Sus scrofa: one gene and its partners. The protein of the gene in region 3 interacts with the protein of the main gene of each other region in a pairwise test. Links are inferred from orthologs where the notes say so. Each region holds a gene or a part of one and is shown on either strand. Other genes may lie near its edges.

Region 1 (3,749 bases), on a different chromosome or scaffold from region 3:
AAGCTGGAGGCAGGGTCCATAGTGGAGAGCTCAGGGGCATGGGCTCTACACTGTGGGGCAGAGGTGGGCACACAGGGTAGCGGGGGGGCCCCCCCGAGGGTCCAGGTCTCACAAGGGGAAACTCTCCTGCTCTCCAAGCCAGGAAGGCCCTGCCCTCCAGTCCAGCTCCCAGATGCCCCCTCCCTTTTCACAGGACCCAGGCTCACCCAGAACAATGGGGAAGGTGGCAAAGACCCCGCAGCGCAGCGTGTAGACGAGGCGGGAACTCATGGTCGGCAGGCGCGGGGCGTCGAAGGGCAGGAAGGCATACGCCCCGTAGAGCAGGCAGGGGAAGAGGATGAAAGCAGCTCCTACGGAGGCCACAGCCCTGAGCCCCTCATGGCCTCCGCAGCCCTCGCAGCCCCCACAGGAGCGGCCAGGCGGCCTCACCACTGCCTCAGCCCACTTGCGCTCAGGGGGCTCAGCGGGGGCGGCCCGGGTGGGCAGGAAGGTCCGGCGGCGTTCGCCCTCGCTCGCCTCACAGCGCACAGCAAGGTCCTCCTGTGGCCGCCGCTCAATGCACTGCAAGTCGATGGGCACGAAGGCTCGGGCCGCCTTCTCAGGCAGCAGGCAAGCGTCATCTTCGGGCAACTCCTCCAGCTTGGTGGCTGGCTCTGACTCGAGGGGCTCAGGCTCAATGTCTCTCCAGCCTGGGGGATCTGGGAACGGGGCACTGGGCTGGGGGCCAGCCCCCCAGGGCAAGGTGGCAGCCTCACTTACTGTGCTATCTAGCCCATCCTCAGTCCCCTGTCCGGCTGTGGGAGACCCAGCTGAAGACCCCACTCTGGAGGACTCGGCTCTGGGAGACTCAGCTCCACCCTCCCCCTCTGTCTTCTCGCCATTGGGGACCAAGGCCTGGGGTGGGCTTTTCTCCAGGGCTGCAGGCCCCTTCACCTCCAGCAGGGCCATGGCCTCGGGTTCCGTCATCCTGGGGCCTCACTTCTGGGGTCTACCGTAAGGTCGTGTCACCCTGGAAGGAGCAGAGGGAAGCTCTGTCAGAAGCTGCTGCTCTTGGAGTTCCTGTAGTGGCTCAGTGGAAATGAATCCAACTAGTAACCATGAGGTTTCGAGTTCAATCCCCGACCTTGCTCAGTGGGTTAAGAATCTGGCGTTGCCACGAGCTGTGGTATAGGTTGCAGACGTGGCTTGGATCTGGCCTTGCTGTGGCTGTGCCATAGGCCAGCAGCTATAGCTCCGATTCCACCCCCAGCCTGGGAACCTCCACATGCCCCGTGTGCGGACCTAAAATAAAAAGGCCAAAAAAAAAAAAAAAAAAAAAAAAAAAGCTGCTGTTTTCTGGGTTGATAGAACCGAAGCTCAGCTGGTCTTACGGTGGGCTTTAGCCCCATCTGGGACCTTAGGGAGAACATGGTCCTTGTGTTGAAATAGAGTGAGGCAGGAGGGAAGTGAGCAGCTGAAATGGAGACACCCTTTCGACATCAAATGCTATTCACCAGGAGAGGGTGAGTCAGGGGGCACAGGCCCTGGCAGCTGTGGCCTCGCCTCCACCCACATCTCCTGCCCCTCTCCACCAAAACCCCTGGGGTCATGGCCACCCAAATGCAGGAATGAGAGGAAAAGGAGGTGTCTAGAAATTTGCCAAGGGCTTTCTTCTTGCTAAAGACCTTCTCGTGGACAGAGAAGCTTCCCTTTCACTTCCAAACCTTGCCTTCCCCTGAAGACCCCGGACTGGAACTCTCCTGGCAACTTATACCAACGATTTGCCAACAAATCTGTCCCAAGGAGCTGGCAGTAGCAGGGGACCCTGTTCTTTCGTCTCCAATCTGGATACTTGGTCGGTTTTCAAACTTCTCACCAACCCACTCCACATCTGAAGGGCCTGGGTCTGTCCATTTTGACCTCTAGGTCTAATCAAAGCTGTTTCCCATGCCTCCTCTCCTGTCTTTCTCCCCTCCCTGCCGTCCTCCATCTCACTGCTTCTGGATGAGGCTAACTTCCCTCCCTTCACTGCTCAAGGACCTCCGATCCCTTAATGTTTGGACCCGTGACACCCACTTACTTTCCATCTGGAGAGAGGTAGAGGGTCCCCAGCGTCCGGGAAGGAGCTGCCTAGCTCGCTGCTGGCTCTGCAAGTATTTCTCTCCGTCTCCCTCCCTTTACCTGGGTCTCCAAACCTGTCTGACCAGAGCAGGTGGGGCCCAGATTAAAGGGCAGGCCCCGCCCTGCTGAATCTGCCGACAGAAAAAGCCTTAGAGAAGGACGTCATGCTCTCTGAAAGTGGGGGTGCAGCTGAGCCTAGAGGTAAGTGTGTTCTAGGAACATGGGTTTTGTAGGAACTCCCAGCACAGGAAAGCAAAGGGGGAAGAATGGGTTTGTGCATCAGAAGGTGCTTGGGGAGTTCCTGTCATGGCTCAGTGGTTAATGAACCCTACTAGTATCCATGAGGATGCAGGTTCGATCCCTGGCCTTGCTCAGTGGGTTAAGGATCTGGCATTGCTGTGAGCAGTGGTGTAGGTCACAGACGCAGCTCGGATCCTGCTTTGCTGTGGCTGTGGTGTAGGATGACAGCTACAGCTCCAATTGGACCCTGGCCTGGGAACCTCCATATGCTGCGGTGTGGCCCTAAAAAGACAAAAGACCAAAAAAAAAAAAAGGATGTTGGAGTAGGTTGGAAAACACCCAAAAGAGAGGTGGAATTTCTACACTTATTCATTCAATATTTATTGAGCACCTGTTATTAGTTAGGCACTATTCTGGGCATAGACATAGGAAAGAACGAGATGACAGGCAAAGTCTCTGGACTTAAGGGGCTTGTTCTGTTGGGGTAGCAGATAATAAAGAAGCCTAGAAAATAAATCAATAAGACAATTTCAATAGGAAAATTTCTTTGCCAAAGTGATATTTGAGTTGAGACCTGCTGGGAATCAGGAGAATGGGTGTTTCAGGCAGAGGAACAACAAGTGAAAGGCCAATAAAAAGGAAAGACAGGTTGTTTCAGGAACATCTCCCTAAGCACCTTGCTTTTTAGGTTAGGTTTAAGGTTACAAAAACCGTGGCACAGTGGTTTAAGAACGTGACTGCAGTGGTTCTGGTCACATAGATCACAGCCATGGCTTGGATTGAATCTGTAGCCTGGAAACTTCCTTATGCTGAGAGTGTGGCCATTAAAAAAAAGACAGCAATAGGAATCCACAGTGATCTTTCCTATGGGAGGACCAGGGGGCAGAAATGTAAGGGTGTAACTTCTCATTCCTGTGGATCTTTTCCCCTTAAGTCATTAGAGCTTCGTAAGGGGAGGGACAATGTCTGAATTGCTCATCTCTGTGACTCCAAAATCCAGCACTGTGGCTGGAAGACAGCAGATGTTCAATAAATGTTTACTGGAACAGTAAGTGAGGAACATGCAAGTGGAAATCTTTGGGTTGGGGTCGGAAGCTGAAGGGCTGAGGTGTCTGTGTAAGAGTCTTATCTTGGAAGGCCTTGTCATACTCGGTTCTTTCCAAAAAAAATTTCACATACAAGTTTTTTGCTTGTTTAAATAATGGGGGAAAAGAGAGAATTAGAATCACTGTAACTAGTAACCTGAAAGAGGCTCGACTCAAATGGGGGCGACAGAAAAACGAACCAAATGACCACAGTCAGACAAGGCAAAGCCACACTCCTAGCTGTGAGCCCATCTGCTTAGGCTCAGCCCTCCTTAGAGTCCGCTGTTCGCTCTCTGGCAACTTTGTCAATAAAGTTTTTCACAA
Region 2 (3,749 bases), on a different chromosome or scaffold from region 3:
GAACCATAACACACAGTGAGCAGACAGAGATTATGCTCTGTGGGTCTTAGAAAGGAAGCAGAGCAGAGACTGAAAGCAAGGAGTACTAGAGACAGCAGAAGAAAACAGAGTCAGAGCAAAGCCAGGAGGTCTCAAGCCACAGGCAGCTGGGCGAGACTTGCAGTTTACCTTGAAATTCCCGGATTTCCAGTAGTTTACCTTGAAGTTCCTGGGTTTTGGCACCAAATGATCTTGGAGAGACAGCAGTGAGTGATGGCTTGGGGCAAGATCTTAATCCTCTGCTCTGCTCTGGAATTGAACTTGGGCAGCTTGGATGAAAACCAGGAATCCTAACCAGCTAGAGGCTAGAAGCAGAATTGCCCTGATTCTTGACCCTCCCCAGTATACATGCACATTTTTTGGGAAAGATGGATTCCAGAGCAAAGGGTGCCTCGATGGTATCAGGACTTAGGATGGCCCAGTGCCCCCTCCCTTTTAGACCCCTGGGAGTCATACTGTGCCTGTGTAACTGGGGGATCTCCTTGGCCCCAGGAGGGATCGAAGTGGTCCTCTTATCTTTCTACTTCAGCAGAGCTCAGCTCTTTCAACTAAATTTTTCTTTGAGGTGTCAAAGAGAAACGATTCACTTGGCCTAACAAGTCCCAGCTGTTCTCAGCCCAGGGGCCCAGCTCCCTCCTACCTCACTTGAAGTGAAAATCTGATGCTCCCAGAGAACTGATGAACCATTTACGAACCCCCACACTGATGCCAAGGCACCTCATGCCTTTAGTAGTGCCCCTGCAGGTCCACAGGCACAGACGCCTCAGTCACCTTCCTGGAGCTCAGCCCTGTGCTTGGGGGAAATTCTGCTGGGAAGGTGGTGGACTCCCCATTGGGTCAGACCCTTGGGGCTGCCTTAGAGGTCCAGCCTGGCAGACATACAGGGAAAGCCACAGAACTGCATGGGCAGGTGCCAGCAAGAAAGACGGGCATGCCAGGAAGACACCCACAGTGAGAGGTGCAGATTGCCCAAGGGCAAGTTTGCTCAGCTTACCCAGCTTTGCTCTTGCCAGGGCCAAGAGGACTCATGTGCCAGGGCCAAGGACCCTTAGGCGCTCTTGCAGCTAGCTTATCAGGGCCTTGGCTCTGAAGGGCCAGGAACAAACAGGCTTCAAAGTTGAGGGCTTGGCTGGTAGACAGAGGCCAAGTCTTTCACCTCTGTCCTCTCTCCCTCCTGGTGCATATAAGACCCTGGTCACACTTGGGGATGAGCAGGGGAAGGTGCCTACAGCAAGATGGATGTAGGCAGCAAAGAAGTCCTGATGGAGAGTCCGCCGGTGAGTGTGCATGTGGAAGGGAGTGTGTGTGTGTGTTTGTGTGTCTGTGTGTGCAGGTGAGTGGTGGGTCCTGCCTCCTCCAACCTCTCAGCCTGTTTCCTCATCCAAATTCATTCGCTCAACTAACCTAGGACTGTGCTAAATTGGGAGAGGGACCCTAGCCTAATGGTAGGTTGGTCATAGTAGACTGGAGAGATCGGTGTGGCAGCCACTAATTCCCATACGAGGGGCTGTGAGCCACCACGGAGGTCAGTGGAAAGGGCTGCTAAGAGCATTGGATAAGGAGCCACTACTTAGGAGGTCGCAGAAAGCTTCACAGAGAAAATAAGCTGGCCCCAGAAGACCAGGTCAGAGCTCACTAGGTGGAGAAGGAGGAAGGCATTATGGGAAGAAGGGATCATATGCATAAAGGCATGGGGGTGTGATACAGCATGGGTTTGGGGGGGACAGAGAGGGACTGGGTATGGCTGGGATGCCAGGAAATAGCAGGAGATGAGACTGGTGAAACAGGCTCCCTTGGGTCTCTCCAAGCTAGACTTCTCTAAGCATCAATGGGTTTGTTGAAATCCAGGCCCCTTCCTCCAGAAGCCTTCTCTGATCTCCTCAGCCCCCTGCTGCATGCCCCTAGCATTGGTTGTTCAGCCCTGGGAGAGTGTGGAGGGTTTCCAGATCGTATAAGAAGAAGACGGAGCATCTTCACAACCTCACACCTGTCTCCCTGCCTGCCTCACCCCCTTCAGGACTACTCAGCAGTCCCAGGGGGCCGGCTCCGCATCCCCTGCTGTCCTGTGAACCTCAAACGCCTTCTTGTCGTGGTCGTGGTGGTGGTTCTTGTCGTCGTGGTGATTGTAGGGGCCCTGCTCATGGGTCTTCACATGAGCCAGAAACATACTGAGATGGTGAGCAGGCCTGGGATGGGGTAGACCGGTCAGGTAGCATTTTGCCCGAGGGGAAGGAGGGAAAGTGAGGCGCACCTAGTGGAAGGACAGGTGGGAGCAGGGTGGTAATGCTGGCCTGAGCTTTTTTACCAGGCCCCTGTCCCAGGGTGGGATAGCCTGTTCCCTCCAGCACCTGGTTCCCCTCGGCCTCTCTAAGCACCCAAAGGAAGAAAGAATTGCATTTGAGTAAAGAGGACTGAGGGTGGGCATGAGGCAAAGGAATGAGTGGAAGAGAGGAATGCCAGGAAGCACTACGACCTCCCCCAGGTCCTAGAGATGAGCCTCGCAGGGCCAGAAGCCCAGCAACGCCTGGCCCTGAGTGAGCATGTGGGAACCACTGCCACCTTCTCCATTGGCTCTAGTGGCAATGTGGTCTATGACTACCAGCGGGTGAGTATGACTCCTGACCCTAGGGCTGGGGGACCAATAACAAGACAATGCTAGTCCTGCCCAGCTATGCTGCTTCTTACATGTCATCCATCTCTCCCCACCCCCAGCCCTTTTACCTCCCCTGGGGGGGTGCCTGAGCCCCAGATTCCAATATGGCTCCCCCCAGGGCCCATCCTAGAGGGAGGTGGCCAAGGCCCAGGGTTAGAGAGTAAACTAAGCAGTGCCTTCCTTAACCCACTCCATCGTTCCCGTGCACAGCTCCTGATTGCCTACAAGCCAGCCCCGGGAACCTGCTGCTATGTCATGAAGATGTCTCCGCAGAGTATGCCGAGTCTTGAGGCTCTCACCAAAAAATTCCAGAACTTCCAGGTGAGTGTGCATGTAAGGAGTGGGTTATCTCCCTGCCAGGGCTGCTGGGAGGAGCATTTGCAATGACGGCTCCTTGTCACCTGTAAGGCCTCATGGACTGCCAGGTGAACGCCCTGCCTAGACCCGTGCACCAAACCTTTCCTACCTGTTCCTCATCCCTACCTACAGCCATGCCACTGGCCTCAGCTGAGCCCCACACCCCCTGGGGGCTTCTGATTCCAGCACAGCCCCTTCTTTACACAGAGAGATTACCAGGCACACCTGAAGTCCCATAATGAGGGCCGCAGGTGAGACAGAAACTCAGTTCCCAGGCTCTCAAATCAGATGCTCTTTCCAGGCCAAGCCCTCGACGCCTACCTCTAAGCTGGGCCAGGAGGAGGGCATGTCGCTGGCTCAGCACCCTCCGGGGACCTGGCCTTCCTGGGCAGCACCATGAGCACCCTGTGTGGCGAAGTGCCCCTCTTGTACATCTAGGAAACATCAGGTGAGCAGGTGTGACCTCCAGGGCCCTGGAGCAAGCAAGTGACAGTGAGTGACCACTGGTCCCTCCCCCTCCTCTTTCTCAGTGTGAAAGGAGCCTGAATTCAGACTGAGGCAAAAGGCTTTTTGGGACACTAGTCTGCCATCTTCCGTCTGCTACCTTTCCATTAAAGTTGTTATTCTTTGCCCCAACAACTCATCTCCGAATTTATTGGCCTGTGGCAGGGCGAGCAGAATGAACTTGGGTTCAGTAACA
Region 3 (3,649 bases):
ATCTTCAAGTTTGCTAACTCTTTCTTCTGCCAGTTCAAATCTACTGTTGAGACCAACCAGTGTATTTTTTCAGTTATAATTTTCCTCTAGAATTTCCACTTGGTTCTTTTTCTTTATAATTTTTATGTCTTATTAATACAGTGTATTTGATGTTGCATCATCATACCTTCCTTACTTCTTTAATCATGGTTTCCTTTAGTTTCTGAAGATAATTATAATGGCTACTTTGTTTTTATTTTATGGCCACATCCACAGCATATGGAAGTTCCCAGGCCAGGGACTGAATCTGAGCCACAGCTGCGAACTACGCCACATCTGCATCAATGCTGGATCCTAATAACCCACTGCGCCAGGCTGGGGATCAAAACTGCACCTCCATAGCAACCCAAGCTGCTATAGTCAGACACTCAACCACGGCGCCACTACAGGAAATTCTAGAATGGCCACTTTGAGGTCTTTGTTAAATATGACATCAGATCACTCTCACAGGCAGTTTCTATTCCCTGCCTTCCTCTCCCCTCCCCCCACTTCCAGTGTATGGATTATATTATTCCTCTGCAGGTCATGTAATTTTTTTCACTGGAAACTAGAATATTTAGTAACATATTTTAACAACTATGGGTGGTGATCTACCTCCTCTTCCCCAGGGTTTGTTACGGTTATTTGCTAGTTTGCTTGTTTTCTGACCAGCTGGATTATTTTAGTGAAATCTGCTTCCCTTTTTCTCCCGTAATTTATATTACTCAAACCAAATATGAAGTGTTGTGTTCAGTACTAAATGCCACATTTGAAGAATACTAACAAACAAAACATATACAGAGGAAGCTTTCAGGATGATGAAGGCTTCAAAATACCATAGACAAAAAGGCTAAGGGAACTGAGGATATTTTATATGAAGTCAATCAGACTAGTAGGATAGAAAGGACACAGAGTTGCTGACTTCAAAGTTCTGATACAGCAGAAAAGAGGGAAGGAGAGGTCACAGAACTTAGGCAAATGTAGCATTATGGGAAACAGATTTTAACTCAAAATACAAGGAAGGAATTTTTTAAACAAATATTTCAATAATGGACTATGTTATCATATAAAATAACAAAGGTCCCACTGTTAAGCAGAAGTTTTCAACATGCCACAACTGTTGAGGATGGTATTCCTTGTTTTGGAGGGGATGTCTGAGTAGATGATCACATTTTCTGTGACGGTCAAGAACCCTAACCTTAATTAAATGTAGGCATTTTTACATAATGCAAAAGCACTTTACATGCCTATAGGTCTATATTACAAATAAACTATTATTCTTTTCTAGAAAAATATACACAAAGAAATCTTCTTTAATATTCCCCTAACAAAGAGTGCTTTTGAGATTGCTATTTAAAGTATTTTCCTGGGAGTTCTCTGGTGACCTAATGGTTAAAGATTCAGTGTTGTCACTGTTGTGGCTGGGGTTCAGCTGTAGGCCTGGGAACTTCCATATGCCCTGGGCCACACACCTCCCCATCCCAGCACCATCTGCCAAAAAAAAAAAAAAAAAAAAAAAAAAAAAGGCATTTTCCTGATTAGTTACACATTTGAGAGATGATTGTATAAAACACTGGGAGAAATTATTACTGTGAACTTCCACATTCTTTCATGTACTTACTTTAAAATTTTAGAATAATTCATTTTTAAGAGTTCCTTAGTCCTTAGTAAATATTTTTTTAATGAAGTAATTGAGATCCAGAACTCACCAGAAGAAATCTTACCAGCACCTTTATAGTCAACAGAAAATGCAGATGTTACTCCATTGGCTGACCCCAGTTCACCCATGGAAATTTGATAAGGGGGCCTCAGCTTGATTTCCATCTGCATGTCAGACAGATTTATCTTTGTTGAAAGAGACCTGGGATTATTATATCGCTGCTTGGTCCTCTGAATGAAGTTATCTATGTAAAATAAAAAATAAATTTCCTTGCGGTCATCTGTTAATTAAATCATTTGAGAGTGCTATCTATGTTTATGGACAGTAAATTTTGCAATAAACAGTTTAATCAGTTATCCCAAACTGTTCAATCTGCCAGGGAATGTCCTAATATTATTTGTATTTAATGGTTAATATATCCTGGTGCCATCAGTTTTTCCCACTAGAAATTATACTCTAGAAATTAATAATTATAAATACAGATTTAACATTACATGACTGAGACTATTTCTATTATATCCACTTAAGGGAATTACTCCAAACTTCTACAAAAAAAAGCCAAAAACAGCTCCCTTTAAATTTAAACCAAAGTCTTAAGTTTTATAGACATTCTGATCTTATAAAATATTAAGTCTGACAGTTATTTACCAGTTTAATTACATTAAAACATATACTGTAAATTCCATATTAATATAAATCTGTTTTCTTGTTTATTGCTTATACCATTAAAACAAATGTTTTAAAGAATAAATGTTATTTTCACTATTTACACTTTGGATTTATTTTTTCCCTTCTACATCAGGAGTCATGCAAACTAATGTCCACAGGCTAAATATAGCCTGATTTTTTTGTAAATAAAATTTTATTAAAACATAACTATACTCATTCATTTATCTATAGCCTATGGCTAATTTAAAGGCTATAATAGCAAGCACTGAGTAGCTATGACAAAGACTAGATAATCCCTCCTAAAGCCTAAAATTGTACTATCTGGTCCTTTCAAACCAATGTTTACCTACCTCTGTTCTACATTAGGCAATCTAAAAATACTATCATATAAACACAAAACTCTCAATCTCTGGCTTACAAATTTCTCATGGAGAAATTGTCCTCTGGGATTAATTCTTTGCACCAATAATCGCAATTCCCTATAAAGCTCAAATACATTTTTTCCAATAGGCACCTAAATGATTAAGTTGCCATAATTTACAGAAGATGTGTCAAATTATCCTATCAAAAGCAAAGTAGCAGAATTTTCTGAATTATTCTCTCTATCCCTTAGTATTAGATGAAAAATTGCTTATGACTGGATGGAGACAGGATAATGAAAAGGAAAAAAAAAATCAGGCCCTTACCAAATTCAATGAAACAGTATGGTCTGACAGCAGTATTTGTCTTCATCATGTTATAAGTAGTAATGAACTCCTTCTGAAGCTCATCCAGGAAAGAGAAGGCCAGAACATTTGGGTAATTTTCAGTGCACAACATCATGTAGCTCACGCCCATAGAGCTAATAAAACTACAGTGTAAAAAACATTGGGTTTAAATTTTCAAATTAAATAACGGTAATTTGTTGCTTCACAAGACTGGCTCTATACACCATAAACTGCTGAGGTAGAGGCAGTGAAGATATTAACATTTATTACATATTTCAGAAAAAAAAAATTTAAAGGAACCAAAATATAACACTAGTTTCAGTTGTGGTTTAAAAACAGTAGACAAAATAATAAAATGTACCTAAAGAGGTTCATACTATGGTCCTAACACTTCAGTTATTTATCACTTGGGGTATATAACACAGGAGAAAGACTATACAGAAATATAAGGGTTACAGAGAGCTTAAGGTTTCAACCCCTCAACCTAGTGGAACTTAACACCATTTGAATCAAGAATTTTTCATTGGTTCTGATAAGTTATGGACACTCTCTCCAGAAACAACATAGAACTTGTTACACAATTTCAAGGTATGGC

The links.
Region 1: the proteins of SEC22A (region 3) and TMEM79 interact in binary tests that used the Homo sapiens proteins (3 or more experiments, as listed by UniProt). The two-hybrid records come from large-scale screens. The link is inferred for Sus scrofa from reciprocal best matches to the Homo sapiens genes SEC22A and TMEM79.
Region 2: the proteins of SEC22A (region 3) and SFTPC interact in binary tests that used the Homo sapiens proteins (3 or more experiments, as listed by UniProt). The two-hybrid records come from large-scale screens. The link is inferred for Sus scrofa from reciprocal best matches to the Homo sapiens genes SEC22A and SFTPC.

Annotation. Positions count from the first base shown.
Region 1 is NC_010446.5:93,766,454-93,770,202, forward strand, and holds the start of TMEM79 (transmembrane protein 79), read right to left. Parts: upstream 2,388-3,749; 5' UTR 2,060-2,387; intron 1,010-2,059; 5' UTR 967-1,009; coding exon 207-966; intron 1-206.
Region 2 is NC_010456.5:6,439,105-6,442,853, forward strand, and holds the start of SFTPC (pulmonary surfactant-associated protein C), read left to right. Parts: upstream 1-1,208; 5' UTR 1,209-1,274; coding exon 1,275-1,316; intron 1,317-2,056; coding exon 2,057-2,215; intron 2,216-2,521; coding exon 2,522-2,644; intron 2,645-2,902; coding exon 2,903-3,025; intron 3,026-3,350; coding exon 3,351-3,449; coding exon of another isoform or gene 3,450-3,487; 3' UTR 3,488-3,497; intron 3,498-3,749. UniProt on the Homo sapiens protein: Pulmonary surfactant associated proteins promote alveolar stability by lowering the surface tension at the air-liquid interface in the peripheral air spaces.
Region 3 is NC_010455.5:137,223,069-137,226,717, forward strand, and holds part of SEC22A (vesicle-trafficking protein SEC22a), read right to left. Parts: intron 3,198-3,649; coding exon 3,034-3,197; intron 1,923-3,033; coding exon 1,728-1,922; intron 1-1,727. UniProt on the Homo sapiens protein: May be involved in vesicle transport between the ER and the Golgi complex.